Lepisosteus oculatus: one gene and its partners. The protein of the gene in region 1 interacts with the protein of each later gene in a pairwise test. Links are inferred from orthologs where the notes say so. Each region holds a gene or a part of one and is shown in the gene's direction. Other genes may lie near its edges. The genes, in order: atosb, dnaja3a and kif20a.

Evidence for each region.
Region 2: the proteins of atosb (region 1) and dnaja3a interact in binary tests that used the Homo sapiens proteins (3 or more experiments, as listed by UniProt). The link is inferred for Lepisosteus oculatus from reciprocal best matches to the Homo sapiens genes ATOSB and DNAJA3.
Region 3: the proteins of atosb (region 1) and kif20a interact in binary tests that used the Homo sapiens proteins (3 or more experiments, as listed by UniProt). The two-hybrid records come from large-scale screens. The link is inferred for Lepisosteus oculatus from reciprocal best matches to the Homo sapiens genes ATOSB and KIF20A.

What each region holds. Positions count from the first base shown.
Region 1 is NC_090698.1:67,317,695-67,328,184, reverse strand, and holds the start of atosb (atos homolog protein B), read left to right. Parts: upstream 1-6,152; 5' UTR 6,153-6,369; intron 6,370-7,033; 5' UTR 7,034-7,219; coding exon 7,220-8,407; intron 8,408-10,490. UniProt on the Homo sapiens protein: Transcription regulator that may syncronize transcriptional and translational programs.
Region 2 is NC_090714.1:3,738,299-3,749,198, reverse strand, and holds the start of dnaja3a (dnaJ heat shock protein family (Hsp40) member A3a), read left to right. Parts: upstream 1-6,363; 5' UTR 6,364-6,365; coding exon 6,366-6,672; intron 6,673-8,927; coding exon 8,928-9,064; intron 9,065-9,438; coding exon 9,439-9,522; intron 9,523-10,062; coding exon 10,063-10,266; intron 10,267-10,379; coding exon 10,380-10,532; intron 10,533-10,900. Other genes in the region: coro7 (coronin-7), read right to left, coding at 5,484-5,765. UniProt on the Homo sapiens protein: Modulates apoptotic signal transduction or effector structures within the mitochondrial matrix. Affect cytochrome C release from the mitochondria and caspase 3 activation, but not caspase 8 activation.
Region 3 is NC_090706.1:29,597,215-29,608,138, reverse strand, and holds the start of kif20a (kinesin-like protein KIF20A), read left to right. Parts: upstream 1-6,792; 5' UTR 6,793-6,960; intron 6,961-6,982; exon of another isoform or gene 6,983-7,264; intron 7,265-9,465; 5' UTR 9,466-9,473; coding exon 9,474-9,632; intron 9,633-10,924. Other genes in the region: bromodomain-containing protein 8, read right to left, coding at 1,123-1,314, 1,456-1,592, 2,320-2,384, 2,559-2,639, 2,913-3,035, 3,356-3,405, 3,507-3,576, 3,888-3,984 and 1 more. UniProt on the Homo sapiens protein: Mitotic kinesin required for chromosome passenger complex (CPC)-mediated cytokinesis. Following phosphorylation by PLK1, involved in recruitment of PLK1 to the central spindle. Interacts with guanosine triphosphate (GTP)-bound forms of RAB6A and RAB6B.

The sequences.
Region 1 (10,490 bases):
TTGTTTGATGTGTATATAATGAAACCAAGATATGTTTATGTAGCACATCACATTGTGGGTTCTGACAATCACTGAACATTTATATTACTTTGGGGTCATAGGCTACTGCCTGCCAGACCAGCTGTGCTTGACAGATGATAAAGACTTGAGCACCACACAGTCTTGTTGCTCAGCCTCAGGTGCCTCTGTTACACAGCAAGATGAGGGTACAGCTGTAGTCCTGCACTGCTCAGCCAGCCTCTGCAGAAAAGGCTCAGCCTCCATTCCAGCAGGAAGCTTTAAACAGGATGAGCCTTTCTCTTATGTAACCATTCACATGGCATTTGTGGGGGAAGAATGTTTTTTTGTTGTTGCAGAAGATCTCAAGGTGAATAAGAGGAGGAGTCTGGACGATGTGATTATTAAAAAAAAAAAAGACTTGTCTGAAGACCCAGCCAGGGCTATGGTCAGGATTTGGCTGTGGACCACCCAAAGGATTTGGTAGCATATTCTAGTTCAGCATGTGGAGCGCTGATGGTAGATAGATGGTGAATACCACAAGCCAGCAAGTTCACATTCCCTAGTGGAGGCTGGGGGCCGTCAGACTGCAAGGGGAAGGTCAGACGTTTTAAAACTGCAGTCTGGTTGATGAGGACCAGCCGGGAGCCTCGGCTGATGTTTCCAGAGCTGGAAGATGGTGCAGGCCGGGGAGAAGGCCTGTGTGAAACGTTCTCAGTCCGAGCCTTTTTTAACTAATAAAACGCTTGACACACGCTTCTCTTCAGACAGCAGCAGCAGCAAAACCTCTTCAAATAAACACAGGCCTTCCATAAAATCTGCACCAGGAATCGTAAGACTTTGTTGAGAAGCTAGCGCTGTAGTAATACAGTTCCCCTGTGCCAAGTCGCTACCAGAGGACAGTGTACTGTTACTGCTTGTAGTACGCTGAGGTCTCTCCCTGTATACCTATTTATGGCTCGGTAACAGAAGTAATTGCATTTGGCGTTCCAGCAGCCCATCTCCCTTGAGCTGTTTCCCAGCAATTCCATGGAACTCTCCTTGCGACACCATCCAAAACAAAGACACCCTTGCTTCTGAAATCACCCTTGCGATTTCAAGAAGGCCAAAACATGTAGACAATAACGTAGCACAAGAATGGATGCTATAGTTTGGTATATCCTAGGAGGCCTTTTGTCCTCTACCCTAATTTCATGCTTCTAGTATTTAGTGTTAGTATTGTGTAAACATTCACTTTACAGAAGTACTGTATTTGTTTTTTTTCGGGGCATTGTGAAATGACCTATAGCCAAGGCTGAGATGCATACTGAAGAACACTGGAAGCCTGCACTCCAGGGTTCTACAGAATAATATAAGTTATACATTATACATTCAGACAGTCTTATACATTAAGGACACAATCACGTCATGTGGAGACTCGGTCTGCATGGCAGTATGATCATGGAGGTTTTCAGCTAAGCGTCTTGGGTAGACAGGCAAGATACTTGAAATAGGAAATAATAATGAACTTTATTTTATATAGTGCCTTTTAAAGGTGGCCTCTCAAAGTGCTTTACAGAATGACAGCAACCAAATTAAGAGGATGTGGGGGGTGTTATTTCCTGAGTATGGAAAATAATGGTTAGCCCCCTTTTCTCAGATGGTACTGTATTTTTTATGCAAACTCACTAGGTTACATCTGTGCATGTTTTTAAGCCAGCCATAATTAATCTATCCAGATGCGCAGAAGCAACCCAACTCAAAAGGCCAGAATGCAAGTGCTTTATGGGAACTGTGGATAGTGGAAAAGGTCCAAGGAGTTATATACAGTATATGAAAGCAGTCTGTGCTGAGACAGATGTGTTATCTGTATAGATACAGTAAATTAATCAGGGTTCTGTATGTGGTTGGTCTACTTTTCTGATAATGATCCTTGTTTTGCCTGATAAATATGGCCAGCCTTTCAAGCAGCAATTCATCAGCTCACCTCACAGGTCCTGCCTCAGTTCATTCCTTCCTAGTATAAGTCAGTGGGGGGAATCCATTGTAACCGATTGCACTTTAGCCCTTCATGCAAATTGGAGATAAATCTTTATCATTGGTGCATTCTTTCCAAAATTGAGATAATACAGCCCACTATACAGGTGCTAAAGGGAACGGAGCCCTGCCTTGAAAATGAATTTTTAATTTTGTAATAGTTTAATTGCGTGTAGCACTTAAGTTGAGTATAATTCTGAAAGCATCATATTTCACTCTGTAATCTCTTGTGTTCTGTCTTGTATACCCAGTAAGGTGTAAGGCCTTCCCAGTATTTCAGTTTAAAGGCCTATGCAGGCCTATGACCTAGTGCCTGAGTAAATTAGATTGTGATTTAGGTGTTTATTTTTGGTCACATGACATCCCTTTGGCCTGTAGTTTCCCCAGTTAAAAACCCTTAAACTCCACTATAAATACACCACAAAGTGAGCTGCATTTCACTTCACATCACCACTGCTGAGTGTTTTGCCTTCTCAGTCTGTCGGGCACAGTTTACAGGCAGCGCTGATCACTAATTCCAGAGCTCGAATTTCAGTTCCCGCAGTTCACCGGCGCGTTTACGATACGGCTGCACATTTCTTTTTGCCAACTGGTAAAAGAGACGTCCTGACACTCCATTCAAAGGAACAGAGAGGTATGTGGTTTACAGTAGTCAGAGCTGTAATAAAGGCAATAATGTTCAAATTCATTACTCTGGGAGAAGAGCTTAAGACTTCCTACGTTGGGATCTAGGAAAGAGGCAGTGATTGCTAATTTGAGTATTGAAGGGGGATGTCTCATCTTAAAATAATCGCTCAGTCTTATTGAAAGGTAAATCAGTGTGTATCCTCTTGTACCTCTCAGCCAGCCGCCTTGCAAGTCTCCCAGCTGTGGCTAAAAATATCCTATATCCTAGTCTTGAAGTTCAACCCCCATGGGTCCTTCCTCACCCCACCACTCACTCAAAAGGGGCTACTGGTGCTGGCTAGGCATGTCAGAGCCACTCAGTCTGCTCCCAGCTGTAGCTGTGGGCAAGGACCAGATCTGTGGTGGAGGATCCGTGTCTGTAGTGCAGAGAGAGCAGAGAGAAACAGGCCCCTGTCCTCACAGACACTGCCAGTGTGTAGCCGCCTGTGTCTGGCAGCCCTGACAACTAGAGCCCTCTGCTCAGGTGGGTTCTGTGTATAGGGCTGCTATTAGAAAATCATCACTATTAGGGGGAGGGAGTCCACGTTCACCCTTCTTCTCTCTAAAGACAGAGCTTTTTGATGCTGTGATCCCTGAGTATTCCTCTGGGAAGATGTGCTTTGTGCATGATTAGGAGTCTTCATCTGCAATTATATCAGAGGGGTGTAGTCTGGGGGGCACTGTGAATCAGAACCCTCTGTGTGTGCATGCCTATATTCACACACACAAAGACACAAACACATTCTTTCCAATCCGTTTTATTTGACAGCTGTGAATGTATTATGACAGCGTGCATATCCATAAAGGAAGATGCATGGTTTTTCTTTAACATGAAGACATGCCCTTGCTGACTTGTAGGCAAATTTTCTGAATTGTGCTCGTTAGTCATAACATCAATAAACTGCTGTTGCTAACAGCATTTGCAATTGTTAACATGCCTGGAGCACATTGACAGAACTGCAGTACCATGCAGAATTTCTTGCACTTTCCCTGTAGCTGTCATTTGAAAACACTGTGCAGTGCACATACAGTAATAAAAACAGCATTGGCTTCAGTCTGTCACTTTCATTACAACCTTTTCAATCCAATTAGATGCTTTCAGACGTCAATGTACATTTATTTCACATAGACAATAGCATACTAATTTAGAAATCTAAATTAGTATTTAGATTCCTTTTTCCGTGATCTTAAGGACAATATCCTCCTTAACAAGCTTTGGTCTAACTTAAATATACTAGTTAAATCATGTGAACTATTGTGGCAGAGGGTTTTTACTGTGTGTGTCATATTAAGAGACTGGAGTGCAGTAGAAATTGTGTCCTAGTTTTATGGTAAATAAAGCAAAAAAAATAATCATGTGCTCAAAGAAATATTGTTACAAATTCATATAATATCTACATTGCATTTAGTTTACCAGCATTTTTTCTTGTAAAAGGGGAGAAAAAAACAGAAAATTGCAAAATCAAAAAGAAACATGCAAGCTTACTTTAACTCTTAAACTAGAACGCTGAAAGATTTATGTGATGCATCACAACTTGTTGTTTTCTCATAAGGAAGAAACAGGATGCAGCTTAACGCAGTATAGCTCATTATGCTGTGAACTTCTGTATTTTCCCGTTTCATTTGGTACATCTTTTGGCTTAACCACACATGGATGCCCTTGAGCGCAAATGAATTTGTGCCTCTTAAATTCCTATTTAAGGATGCTATACTTGACTGTGATGGATAGCAGGCAATTGCTGTAATCTGCTGTACGGAGACGGTGAAATTGGTTTCTCAAACTGAATTTCAAAGCCAGGGTTTTTGCTGAACTGCTGATTTTCTGCATAGTGGAATCCACCCTATCTGTGCTTTTGTTTGTTTGTTTGTTTGTTTTTTCTTTATCCTACTAGAAAGGAGCGCTGGTGATATTATCACAGCTCTTGTAAATACAAACTTGGATATACAAACTTTGGTTAAATATTCACATTTTGCATTGATTAATCATTTTTTTCTTTTCTTGTGTTTTCGGCTGTAGTGTTGGATTTCCATCTCCTTTTTCATTGCAATTGTGACTTCTCTCTCCTTGCTCACACCCGCCACAGCAAATTTGTACATGGCCTCTTCACACACTTGGTATAAAACATGGAGGAAAACACAGGGACAAAAACGAGACCCTTTATTATTCCATGATGGAGACTAATATGTAGTGGAAAGCCGGTATGTCTTTCTGTTGGGGTCTTTAGCATCCTGACACAGGCTCTTATCTCAGAAATGTAGCAGCAAGAAGTCAGTTTAAGAGACTCGATGAAACCCTCTCGGATCAAATTCCAGGATGTTGCCTCACAACTCGCCGTGGAAAGATAATTCCAGGTGTTTTCATGCCAGTTAAGGGGATCCGGGCTCCAGGACTGGGGAGAAAACTGCAGGTGGATGGGTTACTATTGTGGAAGTCGACCTGTCCTCGTTTTGGCAGGCAGACCATGTCTTGTTTCTGAGTTGGAAGAACACAAAAGGCCTGTTGTCGCGGGGGCTGACTCTACCCCCCCCTCCCCTGGTCCCTGTCCAACCAGAGAGAGTAACTGCCACATGAGGCAGGCGTGCTGTCTGGAGACCGAGGAGCCCAAGGCACGCAACAACCTTTGCGGACTGAATTAATGGAGGACGGAAACAGAGCAGAGCCAGAGTGGGGCGCTGAGAACTGGAAGCGAGTGTGGCCTTAACGTTTAGAAATGAGATACCTGAAGGCACGTGGTTTTAGTCAGGTTCGTCACGCAGACTTTGTGTGTGTTTTGACGAAGAGGGAAAGGGTGAGGATGTTTCCTCGGGGATGAAGCCGAGGCAGTGGAACATACAGTAGGAAGGTTTAGAAGGTAGGATTGGTAGGCAGTGTGACCAAATGGCTAAAGCTCAAATGCAGACGCAGAGAAGCAGGGTTCCAGAGAATACACGAAGGCTCAGTGCGAAGTAGTTATAAGGAACAAGGAGGCTGCCTGACGGTTTTAACCCAACTGTTAATCAAGTCATTTCAGAATTGCTGTTCAACTTTGTCACACCCCGTGTGTTCTCTGCTACGGCACTTCTTGGGGGTTTTCTTATTAAAAAAAAAAAGTCTGCCGAGAAACTTCCATCCCCATGCGTGTTTTCACTCCTGTTTGTTGTTTTGATCCCAGGTGTTTCCACTGGAATGAGTGCCTAATTATGAGGCCAGAACACGGTGCCTACCGGCCTCATGCCCAGGCATCTGGAAGGACACTGCTGACTCTGAGGGGGAGGGAGTGGATGTGGGTGCCAGCTACCTGCTTCTTACCTGTCCTTTATACCGCCCCCAGACCTCAGTGATGCCTACCCCACGGTACGTGAGCTTGATTACCGGCTGCGGATCTCTACACTACTGGTACAGCGACTGTAGCCGTGTGCTCCTGCTCCTCCAGTCAGTCTTGCAGTCCTGCCGGTCCTGATCCCTCTGTGCTCCGCTCTGTCTTCCAGGGAGTGTGTCCCGGTGCTGTGCTGATCCTGCTGCCCCCCCGCCCCCCCCCCGCCCTGCGCCAGCCTGTCCTGGGATGGTGTTGTTGGCTCAGCCAGGACGCGCTGGCAGCTGTGGGGATGGACGGGCTCCGAGGGTAGTGGCAGGGGGCAGAACGGCGGTCCCAGGTGGCAGGAGGCACAGCAGAGACCGAACTAGGCAAGGAGGGGAGCACAGGAGGAGCGGTATGAGAACAAAGTGACCACACTTCGCCCTGAGGAGCCTACGATAACATCCACAGGGCCCTCAGATCAACCAGCAATATCTTATTGTACTGGCTTTAAACAAGAACAAGTCATATTAGGGTGTTTTATTAGTTTATTACAGCAGTTTACGCATTTGAATTTCTTGCATTTACAGTATTATGTAGCCACGCACTAAGAGTGCAGGAACTCAGTCGGCGTTACAGCTAGCAGTACAAACCAGGCAGATGAGGCGAAAAGAAGACTCGCCTATACTGGATTAATTTCAAGAAATACTGTAGTATTAATGTTTAGCAAACCAGAAAATACAGAAATGTTAACGGATATTACCAAAGATAAAATAACCAAAGCTGTGACATATCATACGACTGGACACAGATAAAGGCTTGTGCAGTACTATACAGGCAGTAATATTAATTTGTTCAAGATTTATGTATTAACTGAATGAAGGACACCTACAGAACAAGTACTATTAGGTAATCTGGGCCATTATAAAGAAAAACACAAATTTAAATCAAGGATAAGGTGGTGGTTATATGGACCGAAGGGTTAATTTTCACAAGGGTTCATGTAATATTACATAACTTAGGAGTGTAACTTGTCTTCCTGATCACACGGTGTAGATTCGTTTTTTGCTCTTTTGCAGGTACTGTGCTGCTATGCTCCCATAACAAAGTATCTCCACTGTGAGAAGTGACTCGCTGCTGACTCCTGGAATGGAGTAGTAGTCCTGAATCATTTTGCACATTAAATACTTGATTATCGTATACTATTTCTTACTTGATCTGGTGCACATAAAACAAACGAACGACACAATCAAACTGAAGGAACGATGAGACACATCCACGTGGAAATTGCACGGAAGGAGGCTCCGGTGGAGGTGGCTGCCCAGGAGGGGGACCTACCCCTCCCGAATGCCCAGAGGGGAGGCCTGGACTCGGGGTCAGGTCAAGGACTTCTCCGCCCGTTTGGGGAGAACGAGATCAAACTGCAAAAGGTGTACCAGCTGTCCATCTTCTCCCAGCTGGGGGGGTTCTCCGACACCGGAGGCCAACAGAAAGCTGAGAAGCAGGCTGTAAAGAGGGGCCTGGCAGATCCATACTCCGATCCCAAGCGATTGCTTTTGCCTGGGCACGGTGCGGACACCTGGCCTGACTCCCCCGGCATCCCCGACCTGCCCGGCCAAGAGTCCGAGCTAGGGCCCCCCCTGGAGTTGCTGCAAGACGAAAACGCAGTGGTGTGCGGCTCGGGCCAGCACTTCTCCCACACCGCCACATGTGTGATCGAGCACAAGGACTGCGCCTCGGGCAGAGAGTCGGGCCCGGCGGCGGGGAGGCGCTCTCTCCCTGTGCCTCTCGCCAGCCCGATGGCCAGACGCCTTTCAGAGCACAACCAGGACCGGCTGCTCCAGAGCAGGGAGGACTCGATCTCCCCCCAAAACCCGTACTCGTCTGCTGGCCGAACTCAAGACCCTGCACGGCTGTGTGATGCTTCTGCCTCGGCCAGCCTGCCAACAAGCGAGCTAGACCCAGCAGGAGAGCCGGGAGATGGCGTTCCCGCCCAGCGGAAGAGTGGGAACTCAGTGGCACAGGCCAACGGAGCCTTGCTGGAGGAGCAGGCGTTCAGCAATGGTGATCGCAGAGACTGGACACAGGTTCCTGCTTCCACAGCGGTGTCTCCGGGCAGAGATGTAGGCTCAGAGGTGAGTGTTGAGCTGTTGCCCCCAGAGCAAGGACACTCCACCAACGGCCTGGCCTCGGCGGAGAAGACGCCCTGCAGCTCCAGACGGCCAGGCCCTTCCTCCTCCTCCTCCCCCGGCCCCAGCAGCTGCCCCGCCAAGAGGAAGCTGCTGGCTCCCAGCGACACGGGCGAGTCCTGCTCCGAGGACGAGGGTCCCTCCACCTCCAAGAGGAGCCGCCTCTCTCTGCCCCACGGGGTCACCGTGTCCTGCCGGAGCACGGACGCCAAGGCCGCCCCCTTCTGGAACCACTTGCTGCCGTCAGCCCGGGATCGGCCCAAGGTGAGAGAACCTGGGCAGCTGCCCAGTGTTGGCCCTGTTGAAAAGAACTGAACTGTTCAGTCGAGGCTCTTACTAATTACAGCCAACAGCCATATCACCCTGCAACTCACAACTGGCAGCCCCACTGAAGCTCAGCAGGTGTGAGCCTGGTCAGTACCTGGATGGGAGACCTCCTGGGAAAAACTAAGGTTGCTGCTGGAAGAGGTGTTAGTGGGGCCAGCAGGAGGCGCTCATCCTGCAGTCTATGTGGGTCCTAATGCCCCGGTATAGCGATGGGGACACTGTACTGTAAAAAGGCACCGTCCTTCAGATGAGATGTAAAACCGAGGTCCTGACTCTCTGTGGCCAAGTTTCCCATTGTCCTTTATCAGTCACGGCCTCCTAATAATCCCCCTCTATGAATTGGCTTTATTACTCTGCTCTCCTCCCCACTGGTAGCTGAGGTGTGGTGAGCGTTCTGACGCACTATGGCTGCCGTCGCATCATCCAGGTGGGGCTGCACATTGGTGGTGGTGGAGGGGATCCCCATTCCTTTAAAGCACTTTGAGTGGAGTGTCCAGAACAAATGCTATTTAAGTGTAAGCAATTATTATGAACCCCTGTGCCTCTTATTGTATTTATATATTTGGCATTTCTAATATTATCAAGGGCCATTTTTTTTAAATGTAGTTTAAATCTCTCCAGTCACTCAGTGCTGTGAAATTGTAACTGAAAAATACAATTGAAATTGTAATTGAAATTGTAAATTGTAAATTGAGAGAATTCTCTCTTGTCTGCAATCAAGGTCATTGAGAACAACTCGTTTTCACCCTGCCATATGGTTACAGTCTTTTTGACATGTCTTTCCACAAATAATGTCAGTTGACTGTTTGCCACAAGGTTTACAAAGTCTAGAAATTAAACAGTTGTTTCTCAATGCATTCTTCACCTAGTTCAAAATGAGCTTTGTAACTTGACTACCCTTCCAAATTTAAATAAGCGTTTGTGTTCCTCATGTTCCATGTTACCACAATTCAGCTGAGGAATTTCCCCATTGGATAAGCTTCAAATCAAAATCCCATGTCGAGATACAAGGCACTTTAAAAAAACTGGATCCTTTGGATATGGGCATAATTGACTAACACTGGTTTGTGATTTGCTCTCAGTGGATTGGAGCTGTCTTGTAAAATATACATTTTTGCAAGACCTTAATTTAGGACTTTGCTACAGCTCAACTCTCTGCAGTTTGTGTGTTTTTGAATTCTTTATTTTACCAGATCACATTGGTTGAATTTAAAGGGTCAGGGGCTGACACAAGACTGATAAAAAAGTAAGAGTAAGATAAGATAAGATCACTTTATTGGCCATACACAATTTCTTGTATTAGGAATTTGTCTTTTTCACATACCCCTACTTGTTCTCCACGAAACACACAGACAGAGAGAAGCTTGGGGTCAGAGCGCAGGTCAGCCATTTATAAGGTGCCCCTGGAGCAGCTGGGGTTAAGGACCTTGCTCAGGGGCTCAACGGAGTAGGATTCCTCTGCCGGTCGCGGGATACGAACTGGCAACCTTCCGGCCACAGGCGCAGATCCTTAGCCACAGAGCCACCGCATCGCTCCTAGGAAGTAAAAAAAAAAAAAAGACATAAAAAGACATCTAGCCCACACAAAGACTGCACTCCAGCAATTCTAATATTGTGGATTTTCTGTAGGAGAGAATAGAGAGATTGAGCTAATGGGATGCAGAGTTTGAAAGGACCCTCAAAGGTGATTTGGAGGTGTATCATTGAGGGACTTTAGCAGCGCACGCTGCTCTTTGCAGTATCATGCTACATGGCAGGCTCTGAAACCCAGAATATAGACATGGGGTTATATAATAAAGGGTGGGCTTGAGAAGTTTAAATTCAGTAATATTTCCTTAGGTGATGCTGTGTAATATCAGTTACACAATGCATGTCCATAAAATGAGTCAAATCTGATCTTTGTCATTTGTAAAGTATGGTGAAGTGGGTACACCATGGGTACTACAGGTGACCTTTTGTCACGGTTTTCTTTTTGGCTCTGTTCTTTTCAGTTACCCTTCAGGAGAACACTGAGCATTAT
Region 2 (10,900 bases), on another chromosome or scaffold:
TCAACGACAAAGATTAAGGAAACTCAAATAAGCTCTTCATGGTTTCCATGGAGCCACCCATTTCCATAATTGCAACACACTTAGGCAAACATGCGGAAAAGTTCGTGTATTTCAGATCTGCATTTCATTTGAATACCAACAGGATGAAAATCACTGTCAGGCATGATTTAACGACTACGCAATTCGCCGTCAGAGACAAGCTCCCTTCTCTCGAATCACTTCTAAGTTTTTTGCTTGATAATGGTCCCACCCCTGTAAGCACAGCTCGAGAGTTCTTAGCATTCAGACTTTTTGCGCTAGACTCGGAAAGCCTGAGTACAACACAGATAGAGACAGAGGTACACGCCTGTAGTCAAAGAAAGTGACAACGCGCGAGACAGGGAAAGCAGCGACTTTGAGCCCCTGGCGAGCTGATGAAGTGTCATTACAAGTGTAATAGTCAGACAGAGAAAAAGAATTAGTGTTCATTCTGCAATGTTATGTTTACAGTAAAAAAAAGATGGAAGGAAGAATTAAGTGATGGATGACAAAGAGGTAACCAGAGAAAGGAATGTCAGAACGTTTGCATTGAGCAACTGATGAACAATGAGGCAACGGGGATGAAAGCAGAACTCCCCACCATTGCAGAGCAGTTCGAAGTCATAAGGTGTCACAAGCTGTGGTCTCCTGGATACTGGCCAACACCAGACAGCTACTCATTTCAGACTATTAACGGATATGTAAATAAAACCTGAGCAGACAGGGAAACAACTTTTGCTAGGAAGATAACATCTTTAAAGATAAACGGGCATGTGTTGCTGCTACATCAGTATAGCAAAAGGGGGACTGGTGTGTAAACCGAACTGGATCAAAACGCTCTGCAATGGGTGTCCGCTTCCTGCCGCAGAATGGAAAAGACCCCCCTACCCCCCTCCCCTCCTCCTCCTCCTCCTCTCCCCGACTGGTGTCCCTAGACCCGCAGGGCAGAAACCGCACAAGACAGCTGAGCTCTCAGAGGGATCCCGCCTGGCTCGGTTCAGAGCTCTGCGGATACTGCCCTGTGCCTCGCTCAGGAAACAGGGGGGGGGCGGCCGCACCTCGACAGGAAGCAGAGAGCGAACGCAGCCTCAGCCGCTCCTCGGCTCAGCGGCAATAGAGGAAGTGGAGCCCTGCGGCGCGCCCCGAGCGGAGCGCGCCTGCTGAGGAGCCAGGGCCTTGAGGGCTCCAAGCCAACCGGAGGGGCTCTTAGCGTCGTGGGGCTATTATCGATCACCGGCAGGTGACTGATTTGTGTCACAGCTGCCAACAGGCATCCTGAAACAGACACAGCACAGCCTCCATTTCTGTAAAGCCTTTGTATGACCAAACAGAAGGAGGCCTTAAAAATACAGCACAGTTGTTCTAGTAACGGGAAGTCTCACAGTGAATTTATAAAGCATTTTCTACAGTTAAACAAGAAATAACCTGCTGGGGAATGCACAGTGCCCACAGCCCAAAGATAGACTGCATTTGCTGCCAGGGCCAGTTTACTTCTTTTTGGCTGTGAGCTCTTTGCTTCTATTTGCTCCACAGCTGGCTGGAGACAGAGGGATTCTGGAGAGTGGCTGCAATGGACTCAGCTTGGCAGCTCGCCCTGTACTACAGTGATGTGCACAATGCTGTGGAAGTCTCCGAAACTCTGGCACTGCGCTGCAAATCATTTAAAAACGTGTCCAAGATTCCCCAGTGGCTCAATCAGAATACGAACTTCCATCCAGGCTTTTATCCTGAGCAGGGAATCCCTGTGCTGGTCCCGGAGGGACGTCGTGTCGCTAGGTTTACAGTCCACACTGCATGAGCTAATTATTGTTTAACTGGACACACTTGCCAGAGCAGGTCTGCGAACCCCTGAGCTATAGCTTGCAAGGGAGCCCATGGTGAAACAGGAAGTTTCCAGTGGTTGAGGACATTTATTCAAAAGAATCTGGGCTCTACAGGGGGATTTCTAGCTTCCTGTGCTGCAGGGATGACCTCTGCTCACACAGTGGACACTCCTCACGACTGGACTGTATTAGTCCTGTGACACTCACTCCTCAACCTGGACACCTGCAGGCCCTGCTGCTTTTCAATCCACCTGCGCTCTTAATGAGTTTATCGAATCAGTTATTGAATTATCTGATCCAACTTACCTGGGTTTCCAAACCTTTAGTTACGGAGCATTTTTAGTTACCTAAAAAAAACCTGCAGGTCTCCAGGACCAGATATGAAGATGGTGGTTTTGGCGAGTCTGTGCATCTCCCTGGTTTTGGGGTGTCATTGGAGGCCACTGATGTTCTGGACCGGCACAGCTACACTGGCTGCGGCTACACATGCCTCAGGGGACAAGGAAAGCAGGACCATCCCGGAAATCCAGCTCAAGTGGCAGCTGGAAAACGTTGAAAACTAACTCCTCCGCTAAATTTCTAGGCAAGAGATGTGCTCACATTGTTCTGAGGCGCAGCTTTCTTGCTAGAGGCTCTTAACGCAATTACAAATCTACATCTTTGCCAGAGGCTGCAGTACAGAAGCTCCCACACATGGGACTGAATGCCAACAGCCTCTACAAACAAATCACTGTAATCCACAAATCAACACTATTGTACCAGCCTCTGTAAAGGCGACATACAGCCAATGTATTTGTGCCCTACTAACAACAGGGCGGGGACTGACTCTGTCCTGGAACACAAAGAAATAAGTCTGAAATTCCACTCCAAAAATATACAAAAAGATAGGTTAGCCCACACTTGTGCGTCATAATAGCACGGGCAAACTGAAGGGGAGCAATATATTGCCTTGTTAATCATCTCTAAATAGGACAGAGCTGAACCCCTTTCTCATTGCATTTGACTGTAGTAACCGTGCTGCTCTTTCTGTAAACAGAGTGGAATCCCATCCTTTCTGAGGGATGTACACCAAAGGCAACAGCACATCCCAAAACGATATTTTAAAAATGTGTCACCCCTATTACTAGAACCCTTGGCTATACCAAGAAATGTCACTCCTCAACTTTCTGAGCCTTACACAGACAGAACTACAACAGAACATAGCTGTCGCAGCTACTAATAGTCCATTCTGTGAACTAAACAGTCTCCACCTTATTTGTGTTCTTGTGGTAGGATTTAACAGACCCTGCAAATGCAAAAAACCTCAAACGAGAAACCATCTTCAAAAGCACAGCACCAGGGCCTGGGTGAGCAGCTGTGTGGGACAGCCAGTAAGGAGGGGTCTTGAGACTGCTGCTCAAGAGGGAAGAAGACAAGATCATCCCAGAGAAACGTGTTGGGTAGGAGAGGCCGGGGCTGAAGACGGACGCCGAGGTTCTTAGCAGAAGAGAGCACGGACAGCAGAGCACTGAAATACATGTTATCTGTCAGTCCCACCTGGAACAGGAAATCCCTGAAGGATTTTTTTGTTCCCCGTGGGTAAGCAGGGGACACTTCCACTGAATATGAATCTTAGCCTCTGCGTGCAGACTGGACAGGAGACAAAGCATCACTGTTGGACAGACTGGAAAACCATCACGCCTGACGGCCCGTCAAAACAGTTAATTCAATTAAACTTTAACAGCAGGGCGCGTGATGAAAACCAGAGGCAGAAGTGTGTGACTTCTTTTAGTAAGCAGCTGCAGCAGCATGCGAAGGCGGCAGAGGAGCAGGGAGAGGTTTATTCCAGGCTGAAAGGAAAAGAAAAGAGACACCGTGTTTCGACTGTGGAGCCTTCCTCAGGTGTCCACTTCTTTCGTACACGTTTTGGTAGATCAACAACCGTTGTTCAGTCTCTGCCTCAGGGCTGTCTATGAAAACTGAAGATATTTGCCAATAAGCTCTTCAACTCAATTTACAGAAAGAATGGAGACATGGTTAAAAAGTCCAGCATCCTCCAGCACGTTATCAATGCAAAATTATTGGGTCTCATTCATACCATTGGTTTAAAACATCATAATGGGATAGGTCCACAATATAAGCTTCAAAGGTTTGAGACATTCAAAGGTGAACTACGTTTGCAAAGTAGGAAAGCCGAGTATAAGTGGGGATGAGTTCTTAGCCCGTTTGAATGCAGCTCAGTCCTGCAGCTCCCTCCCCCCAACCACAGGGGTCGCTATTACACAACGATATGCACATTATACCAATTAATAACCCTGTCCTGATATATGGATGGATGCTTCAAGAAGAAGTTTTCCACGACTGAGGACTCCCCATATCTAAAACTCATCAGCTTTAGAAGAGCACCTCGGTTTTACTCTTGAGTAGAAACGTGCGGTGGAATTCACAAGCACAAAGTGGAACACGTGTGCCTGCAATGCACTCCAGGTGAGGCTTCCTCTGAAAGCTTCCAAACCACTCAATCAGAAACGACAGCGATATAGTGTATCTCGGTTGTGCGTGGGAAAAGCCACACCTTCCTGACTTCAGATTCCACCACTCACCGTCAATCTGGCCAAAACAAAACCTCGCCCAAGGAATATCTCGAAACTGGTGACTTCCTTTGCCCGGGGCTAGAAATTACCTGTGATCTCGCTGTGCCCACGCACGGAACACAGAGTAGTGCCCGGGATCATTTCACACCTTCAGCAGAGCCTATATTCCAGCACGTGTGAAGGTCGCTAGGAAGATAACCTCTCTCGTCAAAAAGTTGAAGTCGACACTCTATTGCACAGACGTATCTGTAGATGAATTCCCTCCCCGTAAACAGATCAACAATGAATCAACCACTTTCTTTGAAAATTATGCAAAACATTTGGATTGCGTCGGAGCTGACCTAGTAGCTACTCATTAGATTTTACACACCAGGAAGAGCGCGATAGGGTAGCAAATGGCAGAATGGGCGAATTACGATTATTTTGACTTTCTATCGTGCTTGTCAAGGCTAGAACAGTAATTAATAAATTCAGGTTCGCTCCGAGCACAGCTTGTTCATGCACGCTACCTTAACACACATCCTGGTATGACTTTTAAAAAAAAAGTCGAGGTAATTGAGCATCGTGTTTTACATATATTTGCATTAAATCATTCACAGCTGTAAACAATATTTCAGTCTATCTAAACTTTTAGAAACGATTAAACATACCGCGCGGTAGAAATGAAGCGTTGTTCTGTTTTCTTAAAGAGCAGTCTTATTTGCACATGCAATTTAAAACACAAATCACGTCTGGACGGAAATTATTTTTCCGTGTAACGTGAGCGTTTACAACCTCCCAGGTTTTAGTTTTTACCAAACCTTCATTCAAATTAGAGCAAAAAAAAACTGTCATGCACAGACGGAAAAATAAAAAGAGGCGAATCCCATCCTTTAATTAAAACCTGCAGTGCAAGCGGCCGTCTGGAAGCCTTCTTCTAAAACCAGCGTACATTTCAATCTGAATTTGAACGAGTGCTTGAAAAATGATGACTCCGGGACAGCTTTGCGAGAGCAGTATTCAGGAAGTTGAAATGCCAGCACACGTCTCTCCCCCCATTCACTGCAAAACCCAACCCTCGCCGACTTACGTCTTTCTTGGGGATTTTTGGGGTGGTGTTCTTGAATTTGGAGATTTTGAAGCGGTTCATCCTTCTCCTTTCTCCTTCGCCGTCCTGCTCAACGCCAGTGACCCGTTTGCTATCTGTCCCACTCCTTCCCCGTCTCTGCAGACGCGCACACACGCTCAGCAGCTGCACTGACAGCACAACAGTGCCGGTCGATTGTCTCTTGCAGCGATTCACTCGGCGATCGATGCGAACGGGAGCGGCTGATGCTGTCTTGTCTGACCCCCCACCTCGAGCTAGTGACATTGCTGCAAACCTCAGATTGTACTGGGGGCATTTTGCGATTTCAGACTTCTCTTGCTACTTAGCATGTATGGTGCGCAATTTGAAACGAGTGGTGATGTTTTACAATACTGCTAAATTTAACAAAGTTTATGTTTAATTACTGTAAGTAACCCTCCTTTTAAAAAATCTGAGAGGTGTAAAACGGGTGGCCAGCAGACGCCCAACTGATGCTGAACAAATTGCCCCCTTGGGATTAAAGGCTCTCTCAGTCACAGCTCGCAACTGGGAGTTTATTTTGCATATTACTACACGACTTGGGGAGAAGGTTTTCTTTTTGTTTTTGGGCCCCTCTGGACGTATTTGTCGGAGATGAGTCTCTGCACTGCTGGGGAAACTCGTACCTGATTTAGGGGAAAAGAAAACATTTAAGTGCATTGATTTTAAAAAGCTAGCAACCTTCTAAAATTAAATAAATAATACATGGAATCTAACGTTAAAGTTTAAAACCATGTAGCAGAGGCAGTTCGTGTTTTTAAAATAATTATTGAAGCGTTTTTTTATTTTTCTTGAAGAGTCTGAAGTCCACCCTCACCCCTATCATGTGACATGTTCGCGCTGGGAATGTCCCCTGCGTTTGGACTGCGCATGCTCGCCCAGCTCCGCGCATGCGCGGCCCGTTGCTTTTCCCGGCCATGCGCTTTGCGCTGCCTCTGTCAGTCCTGGTACATGATGATGGCGTCTCCTGCGGTCCGGTGCTCCTCACGCTGGATCTTCGTGGCCGTCTCCGCCGGGCAGCGTCGGGGCTGCTCGCGGTTCGCCCGCGCCCATACGGAGACATTGCGTCCCGTTCCTGCCTTGAGTGCATCGCAGTATCGTCCCGGGGGCGGCGGAGGGCCCGGCCACGTCCTGACATTGAGAGCATTAGCAGGTAATGAGACGAGCCGGAATGCCTATATCCTGAACTCTTGCAATGTACATTACAGTTGCGCAGGGTTTGGGGGCTGTGTAATTAACAGCTAGCGTATTTCTTTCATTGCGTTGTCAATATTGTAGTGAAATGTGTGATATGTCTAGACTACACGCGTGCTTCCCTTGACGTCTCTACCGGCATTACGAAAGAGACGTAACGGCGTGACACAAAGTACCTCTGGATGACATGATCGTAAATTGCATATATTTTCTGTTTGACGTCCGTACTTCATGCAAGAAGCAGCACTTTTCGTGTTGATCTTAGATCGCAGGTGTGCTCTCTTCGGCTACCAGAAACTTCCTCCGCTCCAGCAGCTGACCTTGACTGGCAGCATGGTCGCTACTTTGTGTGCCATGCTTCCGGCTGTGGAGATTTAAGAGCAGGAAGGGAAAAATTACCGCAGAAACAAACTGTGACAAAAGGCACCCATAGGCATGTGTCGCTCGTAATTCATAAACCCCCTTTTTGCAGAAAAAGTCTTTGAAGACTAGTGCGGAAGATATAATTACAGTTATCGTGGTGACTTGAGCTATATGTAAATGTTGATCATATGGAGGTTTCAATCTGTTTACCTTTGAAGACTAGTTGCGACAGTATTCGAGAAAGCGTCAAATGGACGCATCTTACCGAAACGCCCTTTGTGTTCAGTTCCAAATCTTCTAGGTGTGATTGGGATAAAAACGACAAATAGCTGACATTGCTAGACTTTGAGCAGGTAGCAGCTGACATTGCTAAACTTTTAAAACAAGATATATTTTTTGAATATATCTCATAGGCTACTTGCTTCCTCTGGTTATTCTTGTACCAAATGTTGATTAACAGTTAGATCCATAAGGAGTCCAGACTGGATTGGCCAGTATTTGAAAGTATTACCAAAATAAACACTTTTCATTGTGATTATCAGATTCATTTGTTGCAAGAGCCTGCTGTTTGTATAAACTGATATTCAGCAGAGTCATGACTTATATATGCAATATATTGACAAAGTTAGCAGTTTCTTTTTAGTAGGTGGAGTACTGAGATTTCGGTGAACAGAAGTGCCATAATTAACAAGTTGCTTTCAGTAGAATTGATCACCATTTGGTCTTGTGTTAGGTCACAGTGTAATAGTGTCTGGAGCCACAGCTGGAAACAGTACAAGCTGTACATCTGGGATTCGTTCTCTGCAATACATTGCAATTGGATTTTGCCCTTTTCCCCTCATAGATCCTGTGAGCTTGTGTCTGTCCCTGGGCCTCCAAATGCCTTAGGTCTCCCTACCTCATCCAGTGGGGCTCAGGCCAGTAGAATACCCACAAGACACCATGTCCTATTCTCATCTTGCCAGAAAGCCCATGTTTCACACGCAGCATGAGGATGTGAAGGCGCCTCAATATATAGAGGTTATTTTTATAACTGGGGCGTTGCAGTTCCTTTCTGTAATTTTCTTTCTTCACAATCGGTGGGTTGGGATCACCCCTTGACCTGTTTCTGCTCAGCTCTCCCACTAATGTGAGTTTATTAGTGCTTATGCAACAAAGTCAATCATGAAATCGGTACACAGTCCTGCATGGCTGATTTCTCTTGACACATACAGTACACTCAGTAACGGAGTGCTACGTTTCTTTTCTTTCTAAGCCTAACTGGAGATCAGGAAAGATATCAAGAATCAGTGCACTCTGATGTCAGAGAAGCAACGTTTGGAACTTTCTTTAGTGCAGTTCAGAAAGCAGCATTGATCTCGTCTTCTTGTGGATTGGAGAGATGTACGAATACTTTCTGGATTCTGTTATATTGTATGGTGCTTTAAATGCCTGACGTCTGTGGATCCTTGCAGTAACCAGTGAGAGTCTGCTTACAAAAGTTGCACTGATGACAGTTGATCTCTGGCTTTATCAACAAGCAGTTTATCTTTAAGCAGTTCGACATCATGGGGTTCAGGCAGCTAGCGATGTCCTTTATTATTTCAGTCTTGCAATAATATTATGCAGTCTTGCAGCTGCACATGGAGTATGGTTTGGAAAGGAATATTCCAGTTTAATACCGAGAGTGCTGTCATATGTTGATTTGCTCTTTAAAAAGTACAGCACTCTAGTTCTGAGTTCCCAGGGAGACTGTACTCACGGGAGGTTCTGGCCTGCTGCCTCCCTGGGCTGTGGTGCTGTAGTCTGCCTGTGCCCCCTGGCAGAGCTCAGACCCCAACTGTTAAGCCGGGTCTCCACGTGCCCATACAGGAGTGAGGAGCCCCAGTGTCATCCCTGCCCCCGCCTTCCACACCAGCGCCTCTGCGTCAAACAAGCAGGACTACTACCAAGTGCTGGGGGTGTCCCGGTCGGCCACGCAGAAGGAGATCAAAAAGGCTTATTACCAGGTGAGAGACGTGGCTACAGCTCGAGAGACTGCAGACGCAGGAAAGATGACGAGAGCTGCTGTAGAATTTCTGTGAAAGCCTGTACCCTTTGTTATTTCTTAAATAAGAAACCGATAAAACTGTTTATTAAAGGTTCTTGTTCTATGCCATGACCGGAAACAGAAGGCGAAGCCTACAGACCAGTAAGAAGAAAGTCCTGTGTTTAATGTTCCTTCAGTGCTGAACTGACTCGGCAGGGACAGGCATTGGATGTCGGTGTTCAGCAGAGACTCTGAGGCGTTTGTTTAAATAAAGTAAATTGTTGTCCCTGCGACTGGAACGCGAGAGGGGGGCAAAGGGCCCCTGGAGACTAAACTGAAGCCTTTTCCCCTCAGCTTGCTAAGAAGTACCATCCTGACACAAACAAGGATGACCCCCAGGCCAAGGAGAAGTTTGCCCAGCTGGCGGAAGCTTATGAGGTAAGTTTGAGAAAACAGACCTACGTCTCCACTTCTCGGGTGTATTTTTGAGTGATTTAAAGCTACGCAAGCTCGGGCCAGGGTTGCCCATTTTTACATATTCATTTCATAACAGTTTAACCACCCGTCAACTTTTTCTGTGCTCGAGCAGGTTGCTTCTTTCTACATTTTAAGCTTCTGGATCTCCATGGAAAGGGGACTCTTCGGTCTGGTTTCTAAACTTTGGGTTCCCGTTCCTGGAGAAGTATAGACGTGCTGCGCTTGCTAAGTTGTAGCGACGAATTCGACCTCCTTCGCCGTTTTCAACCCGCGAGGGTCACGGGCAGGAGGAAGCCGATTTACTGTCGCGCTCCATAAAGAAATAAGTGAGCCGCCAGCCTCCAGGCAGGCAGAAGGCTTAGAAAGGTAACAGCAGGACCGCAAGCCGGTTGAGCTGGATAAAGAGCTCAGCTGCGCGGGAGTCCAGGAGCAGGAGGGAGAGGAAGGCTCCAGCTCGCTGCTCCTCCTCCTCCTCCTCACGGACCCCCCGTCTGCGCGCAGGTGCTGAGTGACGACGTGAAGAGGAAGCAGTACGACACCTACGGCGCAGCCGGGTTCGACCCAGGGCAGGCGGGAGCGGGCAGCCAGCAGTACTGGCGCGGCGGGACCAGCATGGACCCCGAGGAGCTCTTCCGCAAGATCTTCGGGGAGTTCTCCGGCTCCAGCTTCGGGAACTTCAACTCCATCTTCGAGCAGCCCCAGGAGGTGCGTACCTCGCGGAGGAGAGACCCTGCGTCTCCGACTCCGCGCCGCCAGAGGCTTCGGATCATCACATCTTGGGAGGGGGCCGAATTGAGTTGCCGTTTCTCCTCCCCCAGTACGTCATGGAGCTGACGTTCACCCAGGCGGCCAAGGGGGTGAACAAGGAGATCTCCGTCAACATTGAGGATTCGTGCCAGCGCTGTGACGGCAAGGGCAACGAGCCGGGCACCAAGCTGCAGCACTGCCACTACTGCAACGGCACTGGCATGGTGAGCACCTCCGAACGCACGCCTGGCACCCACTGCCGGTGAGCGCCTTCCTGCCAGGCTGTGTCCTGCGGGCGCTTATTCTAACGTCCGCCCACGCAGCATTGCCAGGTCCACACCTTTCATGAGAACCCTCACTTAAACAGTATATATACACGCCAGCATCCACCACTAGATTCTGAGTCTGATCGCCTCCAGGACGGTGCACATTTTCACAGAAGCGACCTTTTTTCTCCATCGTACCGATACGAGGGCTGTAGATCCAGACCACCATATAGAGGGCGGTTATGGGGGTTTCCGAAATGGCCAGTGATGCCTAATTTATTTTAATGAGGTGTTGTGTGTGGGGGGAAAAGCTGCCTTTGAAAGCA
Region 3 (10,924 bases), on another chromosome or scaffold:
CTGTGAAAATGGCAGCACGGGGCTCCTGCTGGAATCAGCTCAAGCTGTAGGTCTGTGACTCGCACTTTGTGTCTGGTTAGAGATGTTGTGCTGTGGGACTCTCTCCTACCCTGGGCCATTGTGTGAGCCCCAGGACTTGATCAATATAGCACCCAGCCCTCAAGTTGCTCTTGCTCACTACAGGTGGGGTTTCGGTGGGGATCAGACACTTCTGCTCAAATGTTCACACTAGAACCTCCCTATCGGCGGTCAGCTGTACTCTACAGTTAGCAGATCTGTGCCACACTTGGTCAACACACAAGCCTGACTCATCTTCACAGAGGACTGAGCTCCTTGCATGCCCAGTCTACCTGAGGTTCAGCCTCCCAGAAACGAATGGCACGAACATGCTATTCTCTTGAAAACTGGGACATATTTGTTCACCAGGCGTGACATTCGACAGGCAGAATCACCCCCATTACCTGTGCCCAGTCCACTCCTCCACCCGTGAGGTCATTCAGAGCTCACACACCAGCCAGAGATCGGAGAGAGTGTATCATCAATTAAACAAAATGACAAACCTATCATTTAATCAATTTCCAAAATATGAATACTTTCTTTAAAAAAACACTGTCAAAAATGCTGTCTTTGTTTGATGCTACAGAGAGCAGCTCTGACAGGCCCTGTGAAGGCACTGATTATATACATAAAGATTACAGAAGAGATGATGGCCAGATCACTCACCCAGCCCGTTTGCTTGTAGTTACCTACCAAGCTATTGTAGTTACTCAGTAGAAATTTGATCTGACTATCCTATCCTACTCGTTCCACACCCTCATCCCCCTTTGTGTAAAGAAGTGCTTTCTGTTCTGACTGGAGAATCTCATCCAGCTGTTTCTTGTTAGAAAAGTGTATCAGCTTCAACTACGTTGCTTGGCAACTTGTTCCACACCCCCACTATCCTTTATTTAAAGAAGTGCCTCCTGTTTTCAATGCGCTTGCTGTAGTTTGCACTGGGGTCCTCCGGCTCGTGTTTCTCTACTCGTTAGGAACAGAAATGTTTGGACGGAGCCCGGATTTGGGATTATTCGGGATCCTGAAAGCATCACGACTGCCCCTATCCCACCTCCCCACACCACTCACCAGTCTGGGGCTGGTTGGCAACAGGCTGCCTTTCTTCAGCAGCTCGGAGAGCAGGGGCGAGGGGGGCGGGGTGACCTTCTGCCCCAGGACCTTCTTCTGCGGGGAGTCATCTAGGAGAGGCCCCAGGCTGGGCTCCAGGGGCCCGGGGCCTGCTGACTCTGTCAGGGGCATGAAGACCGGCGCCCCAGGGGTCTGTGGGGAGGGGCAGGGAGGCAGGATCAGCAGTTGTAATCATATCCGGAGACAGAATGCAAGAAGAGGAGGGGAAACAGGGAAAGAGAGAGGGGGCGCAGGCGAGAGAGACAGGGGGAAGGGGGCGGGGGACAGACTCACGCTGGCGCTGGCCTCCTCGGGGACCGGCTGGGGGGGGTCGGCCATGGGAAAGTCCAGGCCTGGGGAGCTGGAGCCCAGCGGAGAGCGAACCGTCACGCTGGGGACGCGCTTAGGGGTGTTCTTCACTGCCTGCCGGGCTGCAGACACAGACAGAGGTGGAGACAGGAGTCAGGGAGGGGAGGACCGAGCGCCTCCTATTCCACGGTGGCAGAGATCTGAGGACAGTTGGGGCAGGTGCTGGCTGGCAGGCCGGCCATCCCAATCCCGGTCCTGCTGGCCCACGTTCCTGCTGGCTCTCATTCCCGCCCGGCTTAATCACTTTCCTGAAGCTTCACTGAACCAACCAGACACTCGAGCAGAACGCTGGAAAGGCTTTTTTTTATATATGCAGTGTTTTCCCCCTTCACTTTTTCACACAGGGCCATGTAGGTTTGGATTTTTTTTTCCCCTTAATAATAATAACCTTCATTTAAAAACTGCATTTTGTGTTTACTTGTGTTATCTTTGTCTAATATTTCAATTTGTTTGATGATCTGAAACATTTCAGTGTGACAAACATGCAAAAAAAAAAGAAATCAGGAAGGGGACAAACACTTTTTCACACCACTGTATATATACTCGGAAGTTTGGGGTTTGATCTTACTTATGAAATGCAAAAGAGAAAATGAACTCTCCAGCATGTTTAAGGGTTGAACACGTTCAAGCGGTTTAATTTGATCCTAAGTCGACTAACGGTTCAGCTGAGCAACTGAGCGCTGGGCTGGAACGGAAACCAGCAGGGATGAGCTCTACATCTCCAGCAGGACCAGGACTGGGGTCCCCTGCTGTAGCAGGACCGACAGTGGGCGTGTCCCTGTACTGTACCCTGATAGGCTGCATCTGTGGCCTTCCGCTTCAGCTCCGCCTCTTCCTCGTCCTGTTTCTTCTTCCTGGAGGCGGGAACAGTAACCGCATCAGTGACGCCGCCACCGCCTGCCGACCGCGCCACAACCACAATCAAATCACAGACATCTCCTGAGCCAGACGCACAGGCAACGAGACCCAGGCAAGTACACAGAAGGACAGGCGGCCTTTCACAGACACTGGGAGATGGACAGACTCACAGGACGATCTCCCCCCACAGCTCCTCCAACTTGTTGTCCAGATGTCCAGCCTGGATTAGTTCTGCCTCCTTCTTCAGCTTCCTGCAGGGAGAGACGCAGTAAGAGTGGACTACAGTGAGGACCATCAGGTCACAACACAGCACAGCATACAGGGACACAGGTTAGAGTAACAGTACACAACAGCACAGGCTACCAGGACAATACTGTAGAAAACAGTGTAGAGTAATATTACACAACAGTTCAGGCTACCAGGACAATACTGTAGAAAACAGTGTAGAGTAACATTACACAATAGTTCAGATTACCAGGACAATACTGTAGGACACAGGATAGAGTAACAGGACAAAATAGTACCTGTGCAGTTCCTGAGTGTCTTTGATCAGCCTCTTGAGCTCATCTATCCTCTCTGCTGTCAGTCTGCGCACAATCACGTCCTCCACAGTCTCCACCACCTCACCCTTCTCTCCCCTCTTCCGCCTGAGAGAGACACAACATTACACAACACTCCTGCACTGTCTCCCCACCACCTCCCCCGAGACACAACACAACACCGCACTCTCTCTCCCTCACCCCACCCTGCTCACACCCGAGACACAACACAACAACAAGGCACTCTCTCTCCCTCACCCCACCCTGCTCACACCCGAGACACAACACAACAACACACTCTCTCTCCCTCACCCCACCCTTCTCACACACCAGACAACACAACACCGCACTCTCTCTCCCCCACCCCCACCTGCTCACACCCGAGACACAACACAACACAAGAACAAGGGATGGGGAGCTGCACTCACTTGGGCGTCTCTGTGGTCTCCAGCAGCTCCGAGTACTGGGAGGCACAGTGCTGAGAGAGACAGACAGGAAGGAGGAAAAACACACTACCGTCACGGCGCTGAAGAGGTCGAGGAAACACTGCAGGAGAACGAGCATCACTGTGTCTCCTACCTTCTGAGAGAACCAGTCCGGAGGGCGGCCTGCTTCTGCAAAGGGCTTGATGGCTCTGCTGACCGACACCCTGGCAGAGGGAGATGTATCTGTTACTGTGGAGTTAACTGTACCTGCCTTGTGAACACTGCGGCTGATCGGTCACGCCAGTGAAGCTCTTTGAATCTGATAGGCTGGGAGAGAGAGAGGATGAGGAGAGACATGGAGACGGACGGAGAGGAGAGGGGGGACAGCTGGAAATTGAGAGAATGAGAGGAGAGAGACGGGGACACAGGCAAAGGAGAGAGAAGGGAGAGGAGCAAGAGGGGACAGTTCTGGAGGGAAACTGTCTGGCAGCCATGAGCGCCAGACAGAGAGACAGGAAGAAAGAGCCCCTCTTACCAGTTCTGGTCTCCACTCCTCATCACAGACGAGGCCAAACACAGCTTCTCCCTCACAGACCAGGGCTCTGTGGGGCCCAGCGACATCAGCTTGTGCTCTGGAGAGAGTCGGGGAGAAGACAGGGGACAGGGCAGAGAGAAGATAGGAGAGGACAGGGGACAGGGCAGAGAGAAGATAGGAGAGGAGGGAGAGGACAGGGGACAGAGCAGAGAGGACACAGGAGAGGAGGGAGAGGACAGGGGACAGGGCAGAGAGGACACAGGAGAGGAGGGAGAGGACAGGGGACAGGGCAGAGAGAAGACAGGAGAGGAGGGAGAGCACAGGGCAGAGAGAAGACAGGAGAGGAGGGAGAGCACAGGGCAGAGAGAAGACAGGAGAGGAGGGAGAGGACAGGGGACAGGGCAGAGAGAAGACAGGAGAGGAGGGAGAGGACAGGGGACAGGGCAGAGAGTAAACAGGAGAGGAGGGAGCGGACAGGGGACAGAGCAGAGAGGAGACAGGAGAGGAGGGAAAGGACAGGGGGCAGAGAAGAGAGAAGACAGGAGAGGAGGAGACAGGGGACAGGGCAGAGAAATTATAGGAGAGGAGGGAGAGAGAGAAAGGTCATATTAAAACAGATAAACTGTATGTGTGAGCAAAATGACAGTCTCCCTCTCACTGTACCAGACACTGAAACCTGGCTCTTTAATCACAAAAGGAGTCACTGACGCTGAGGAAATGATAACAACTGTGCCACCATGCCGCCTGCTGAGAACAAACAGCCCGAGTCAAACCTGGTTCAGTCAGTTAAGAGTTGGATCGTGTACCTGAGGTCTGGCTGGAATAAAAGGCAGCAAGCGTTCGGGCTCCAGGAATATTCTCTACAGGACTGGGGACCACTGGTCTAAAAGATACTCAACCGGCCATGGCGAGAATATTTCTAAAGGATATTTACCCGGCTACCGATCATGGATAGTTAGTACTAACTGGTACTAAAAACGTGGGAAGTGTTCAGTAATAAACAAGAGATACGCGCACGCCTAGCGGTGTCGTAGGAAGTAACAGCCAGCCCCTATCAAGCGTTAGTACAGCTACCAGCGTGGTTTCTCTTAACTTTCTTTCAGGTTCAGACTCTGTATGACACACAGACCGAAAACTGAGACGCTCTCGTACACCCCGGGCCAAATCCTGAACTACAGTCTTTGTGTCTGCGTTACGTTACTCCTAATGTTACGTTAAAAACCGTCCGTTACCAGAATACCACTTATTTCTGGGGAAAGTCACGGTAACCTTACATAAGGAGTAAGGAGAAACATCCGTTCATCGCGCAGAACAGACACACAAAAACACAGAAACAACTCCAAAACACTGATAAAGGTACAAAGACACAATTAAAATATAAACAACACCTACTCCCTATGCCGCCCGCCATCTTGACTCCTTGCCCCTCCCACACCGCCACTGAGCACTTGCACTTCCAGGTCAAAGTGCTTTTCTAGCCCCGATGCTGCCTGGGAAATGAAGTCTTTGGCTTTGGAGGGACATGTACAGTATGACCAATTTATATATCGCTCATGGAAAATACACTTTATCTATAGAAATACAAATAAGGTGGGAATATTGTACTTTCTAAAGTCTTTGTTTCTGTAAACTGTACTGTTTACATTAGTTTATATACAGACTTCAGGGCCGGCCCAATAAGAAAGGGGGATTAGCTCAAATGGTAGAGCGCTCGCTTAGCATGCGAGAGGTAGCGGGATCGATGCCCGCATCCTCCAAAGACTTTTTCTGCACTGCAGTATCACCTATATTTGCATTTCTGGGGTGTTATATACTGTAATTCTGCAAAATCAACTGCATTCAACTTTCTACAGTATCATCCGTGTTCGCGTGTCTACACGATTATATATTTTACATTACTACCTATATTTGTTTCTATAATACTACATACTTCTAAGTTGTGTCCTATATTTGGATACCTCTGCCTATGTTAATCTGAGTTTACACTTTTAAACAGGCGTCTATTTGCAACCCCTAGTATCCCACAATCAAAGGCGCCTTTCCTAACACAACGGGCTGGGACAGACTTCGCCCGCAGATCAGCGCCATCAAGGCAAGACGCGGCCCAGAGGGGGGGCGACAACAGCGACTCCTGACGGCGATGCTGGGAAGTGCAAACTCCCGACCGGCCGACCCACGTGACCCGCTGTGCCCTGCGGCTCCTCAGCTGCCAACAATGCGCCGTTTGTGTGGGACAGGCGGTCCAGATGTTTATCAAATCGATGTGGGTTCACATCAATGCTTCTTTAGTACCGCCGAAGTGAATACTGTTCACATTTATTGTTCAGTCCCCGAGGGAAAGAGGTGCTTGCCCACACACTAAACGAATTTGCACGGCTGTCTAAAGATGGCATGCTGTTTAGATAATCTATTAGCACAGGAAGAATAACATATCTGTAAGGGGGCGAGAAACGCTGGCTTCTCTCGACTAAATTCACACAGCAGGTTTATTCAAGTAGATAAGTACAATATCTACTCATGTGGGAATAAAGCCGATGTGAACATGAATACGTAGCTCTTAGAGGCTACTCTGTAGCGATGCAAAGGAACAACTAAAGGTTTAAACGAGCACCCACCAGCTGCGGTAGATCGCCATGTTGGCTCAGCTCGCCACGGTGCTTCTTTTTTTGAGCCAACATGGAGCCAGTTTCCATTGGTCGCACTCTATTTCTCCTTCACAGAGGCACGCCGCCGCGCCCTTTCTCCGCCTGCGCCTTGGGCGAGGGTTCAGCGTGCCGTCCGATTGGCTGGAGCGGCGGCCCTCGCATTCCGAGCGCTGCCATTGGGCGGCTGCGGGCGGCACTCGGAAGGTGATTGGCTGTCCCTCCGGGGCGCGACGTTTGAATCGGTTTGCTGAGGGGCTGAACGCTGGTCCCAGAGTTCTTAGTTCAGCGCGGTTGTTAATTTAAGTTTAGTCGACAGAGGAAAGGGTTTATAGGACTTTTAATGTGCCTCTATTTAAACTTCTAGAGAGGACACTCAGTCAGAAGACGTCAGAACTTTACGGAAAAACCTGCGTTTGTATTTAAAGAAGGTTAGTGTTTTGTTTTGTCTTTGAACTAAATGAGGTTGCGTGTTTTCTCTCGATAGTGAATGTGGGTAATTTTCAGATTGAGGACACACCGCTCGAAGACATAAATGTCCTACACCCGATTGCTGTTACTGTATGAAGTATTACAACAGTAATTCGTCGGTCACGCCAATAAACTTCAGTAAATAAAAAAAAAGACCAAGAGAGCGAAACCTTAAAATCACTGCGGACAGTGTGGTCGTGTAAATTAATCTGTGGACCCCCCGACTGCGTGCGCTCTTTCTACCGTAAACAGACTTCCGACCTGGTAAGATACAGTTGCTATAAACACCCCAGTGTTCCTCTTATTTCTAAATTTGATGGTATATTGTGTTCTTACAGTTTTTATTGCATGACTTTTGTGAACTGACAAAAGAAAGCCCTGTATTGAAGAGGTTAGAGAATAAAATCGAGAGTATCAGACTGCGAGGCGGGCAAAAACCCTTTTTAAAAGGACGCGTGCGCCTGACCCCCCGTGTGCATGTTCTTCGCTTCTCGGCATTGAAATTGCCCCAGCCTGCTGGTCCGCAGAGAGAGGGTCGTGCGCGGTCTGAGTGGGTTGTCCACCCGCGGAACTGGTTTGAAACGGCCGGGTTCTCCACAGACTATCCCTGTATCTGTGCGGGTTTCCTTTCTCCGGGGGTGGGTGGGGGGGCGTGCTCGCCTGACTTGTTTATCCTCGTGAAAGTGAGCTTCACGCACAGGCTTGCAAATTAGGAACAAACTGCAGCACCGCAATACCAACACTGCTGTTAATTCCTGGACCCGGAGAGTCCCGGGTCCGATGCGGTTTTTCACTCCACACCGCGCTCTAAGACTTGATCTGAACCAGGGCTAACAAGCGAGAGGAGGGCCCGTCTGACCGCTTTGATCGATAGTAGCTAATTGATCCCGGGATCAGTGATCAGCTGTTTCTTGTAAAAAAAAAAAAACAGGGTATCGGCTTCCACAACGTAGCGGGACAGCTTGTACCACACTCCCACCACTCTTTGTGTACAGACGTGCCTCCTGTCCTGACTGGCTGGGCAGCTTGTTCTACGGCTCTCTTTGTGTAGAGGGGGTGTGGGAGAGCCTTGTGGGACGAGCTTGTCCCCTTGGAGTTTCTGTTTTTCCCCCTTGTCCAGCTCTCTCGCTGGGATTAGCAGTTACCTGTGGAATTTAGTGGACTGGCCCCATGTGGAATTTACCTCCACTGCTGAGAGAGAGGGAGGCAGCTCTGAAGCTGGTCTGTGTTCAGTGAGGCAGCCCTGTGCCCTGCAGGCTGCTGGCTCCTTCCAGACTTCTCTAACCACCTACCTGCACCTGACCCCTGTGACACTGTCCCAAGCCTCTAACTTGGCCCCTGCAGGGCCTTGCGCCCTCTGTAGTCCATTCATTAACCTAATTAACCTAAATTGGACACGGGAGTTTTCCTAAGGTTTTGAAAAGCTGATAGACGGACTGTAACAACAAGGAATTAAACTCGAGAACTCGGAGGATTCTTAAGATTTAGACAGCATTCGGGACTGGGCAAATACTTGTGAGTTCTGAAGAGCAGGGTTCTCGGTACAGATCCCTGTGGTGCTCCACTGATTACATCCGCCATCCTGAGTGTCCTGCCCATTGACCAGTTCCCAATCCCAACACATCCATGAATACCTGCTGCCAGCAGTGGGATTATGCCTCTACCGAGACCCCATGTATCCCATGCTGGATGCTGTCTGTTACTGTTGTAGCTCTGCCCGGCTGAACAAGACCCACCTTTTCTGAGAGTCTCGCAGAGACGATTGTCTGGTGTAGTTGTAGTAGGTGTTAACATTGATCTGAAGCGTAGATCAGATTGACTTGCCTCCGTTTTTTGCCCTTTCTGTGCCTGAGCGACTATTTGGAAGAGTTCTGCTAATTGCCTACGGAGAATCGGGTCTCTCGCCTCCTTATGTGCTACTGCTAGAACACAAACAGGACCCAGTAAACAATAGAAGCTCGGAGTTTGAGCCAGTGGTTTAGAGCTATTTTTCTGGACTGATGCTTTGCTATTATTCCTATTTGTTGGAGCGAAACTTGTTAGCGTGAGACTTGTACTGCTGTGCACTGGGAGTGTGACTGACAGCACTGTAAAGCCTGGAGTGATTAGCTTTATTGTAAAATCATCACTGGCTGTCTGCTCTGTTGTTATACTGCTGATTTTCATTTATTTGAAAAAAGCTTCAGTCTCCCTGCTGTTTGTGGGTATATGGACCAGTGTGTGTCCGTTCAGTGGGCAGTGGCTGCAGGTGTAGGGGGCTCAGGGACCGAGGGGGGTGTGAGTGGGTGTGGGTGTGTGTCGGTTCAGTGGGCAGTGGCTGCAGGTGTAGGGGGCTCAGGGACCGAGGGGGGTGTGAGTGGGTGTGGGTGTGCGTCCCTTCAGTGGGCAGTGGCTGCAGGTGTAGTGGGTCTGGGAGATGGTGGGGTGTCACCCCTCTAACCTGAGGCTGTCTGCTGCTTTCGCAGTGGTTGTCATGGCGACGTATGGGGCCTCACCGCGCGGCCTGCTGTCGGACGAGGAGGAGGCTGCGGTGTTCGAGTCGACGGCGGCCGAGACCGGCGGCGGGCAGAGAGGGGGTCATCGCCTCGCCGAGCTGTCAGTCATCTCCCCTGGAGCGGACGCCCCCACGCCGGTGAGACAGGCGACGGGGCAGCGCAGGCGGAGCCGTGCTGGGATATCAAACCCCTCGCAGCGTGTGCAAGCTCTCCTGCTCTCGTGTGAACTCTCCCTCTCTCGCACACTCACATCACGCTCTCTTGCTCTAGTGTGAACTCTCACTCTCTCGCACACCCGCATCACGCTCTCTTGCTCTCGTGTGAACTCTCCCTCTCTCTTGCTCCTGGGCGTGCTCTCTCGCACACTCACAGCACACTCTCCTGCTCTCGTGTGAACTCTCCCTCTCTCTTGCTCCTGGGCGTGCTCTCTCGCACACTCACAGCACGCTCCTGCTCTCGTGTGAACTCTCCCTCTCTCTTGCTCCTGGGCGTGCTCTCTCGCACACTCACAGCACGCTCCTGCTCTCGTGTGAGCTCTCCCTCTCTCTTGCACCTGGGCCTGCTCTCTCGCACACTCACAGCACGCTCTCCTGCTCTCGTGTGAACTCTCCCTCTCTCTTGCTCCTGGGCGTGCTCTCTCGCACACTCACAGCACGCTCTCCTGCTCTCATGTGAACTCTCCCTCTCTCTTGCTCCTGGGCGTGCTCTCTCGCACACTCACAGCATGCTCTCCTGCTCTTGTGTGAACTCTCCCTCTCTCTTGCTCCTGGGCGTGCTCTCTCGCACACTCACAGCACGCTCTCCTGCTCTCGTGTGAGCTCTCCCTCTCTCTTCCTCCTGGGCCTGCTCTCTCGCACACTCACAGCACGCTCTCCTGCTCTCGTGTGAGCTCTCCTTCTCTCTTGCACCTGGGCGTGCTCTCTCGCACACTCACAGCACGCTCTCGTGTGAACTCTCCCTCTCTCTTGCACCTGGGCGTGCTCTCTCGCACACTCACAGCACGCTCTCCTGCTCTCGTGTGAACTCTCCCTCTCTCTTGCTCCTGGGCACGCTCTCCTGCTCTCGTGCGCTCTCTCGCACACTCGTGGTGTATGCGGTTTTGCTTTCCCCTCTCACCTGCACTCGCTCTACTGTGCGTGCACTCTCTCCGGCATGCTTGCGGCACGCACACACACTCTCCCCCCACTCTCTTGCTCCTGGGCATGCTCCCAGCTCCTCATCTCACGCGCTCTTTCTCTCCCTCTCTCTAATCCTGACACCAGTGTTAGCCAGCCATGTGCCAGACGGAAAGTAAAAGTGCAAACGGACGAACTTCGTTGCTGTTATGAGTTTTGGTCAATTGCACTCAAAAATGCAAAGCGATTTAGTCATCGTCATTGCGGGCTATTGTCATGAGCCTCTCAACTTCGTTAACTAAAACCAAAAAACA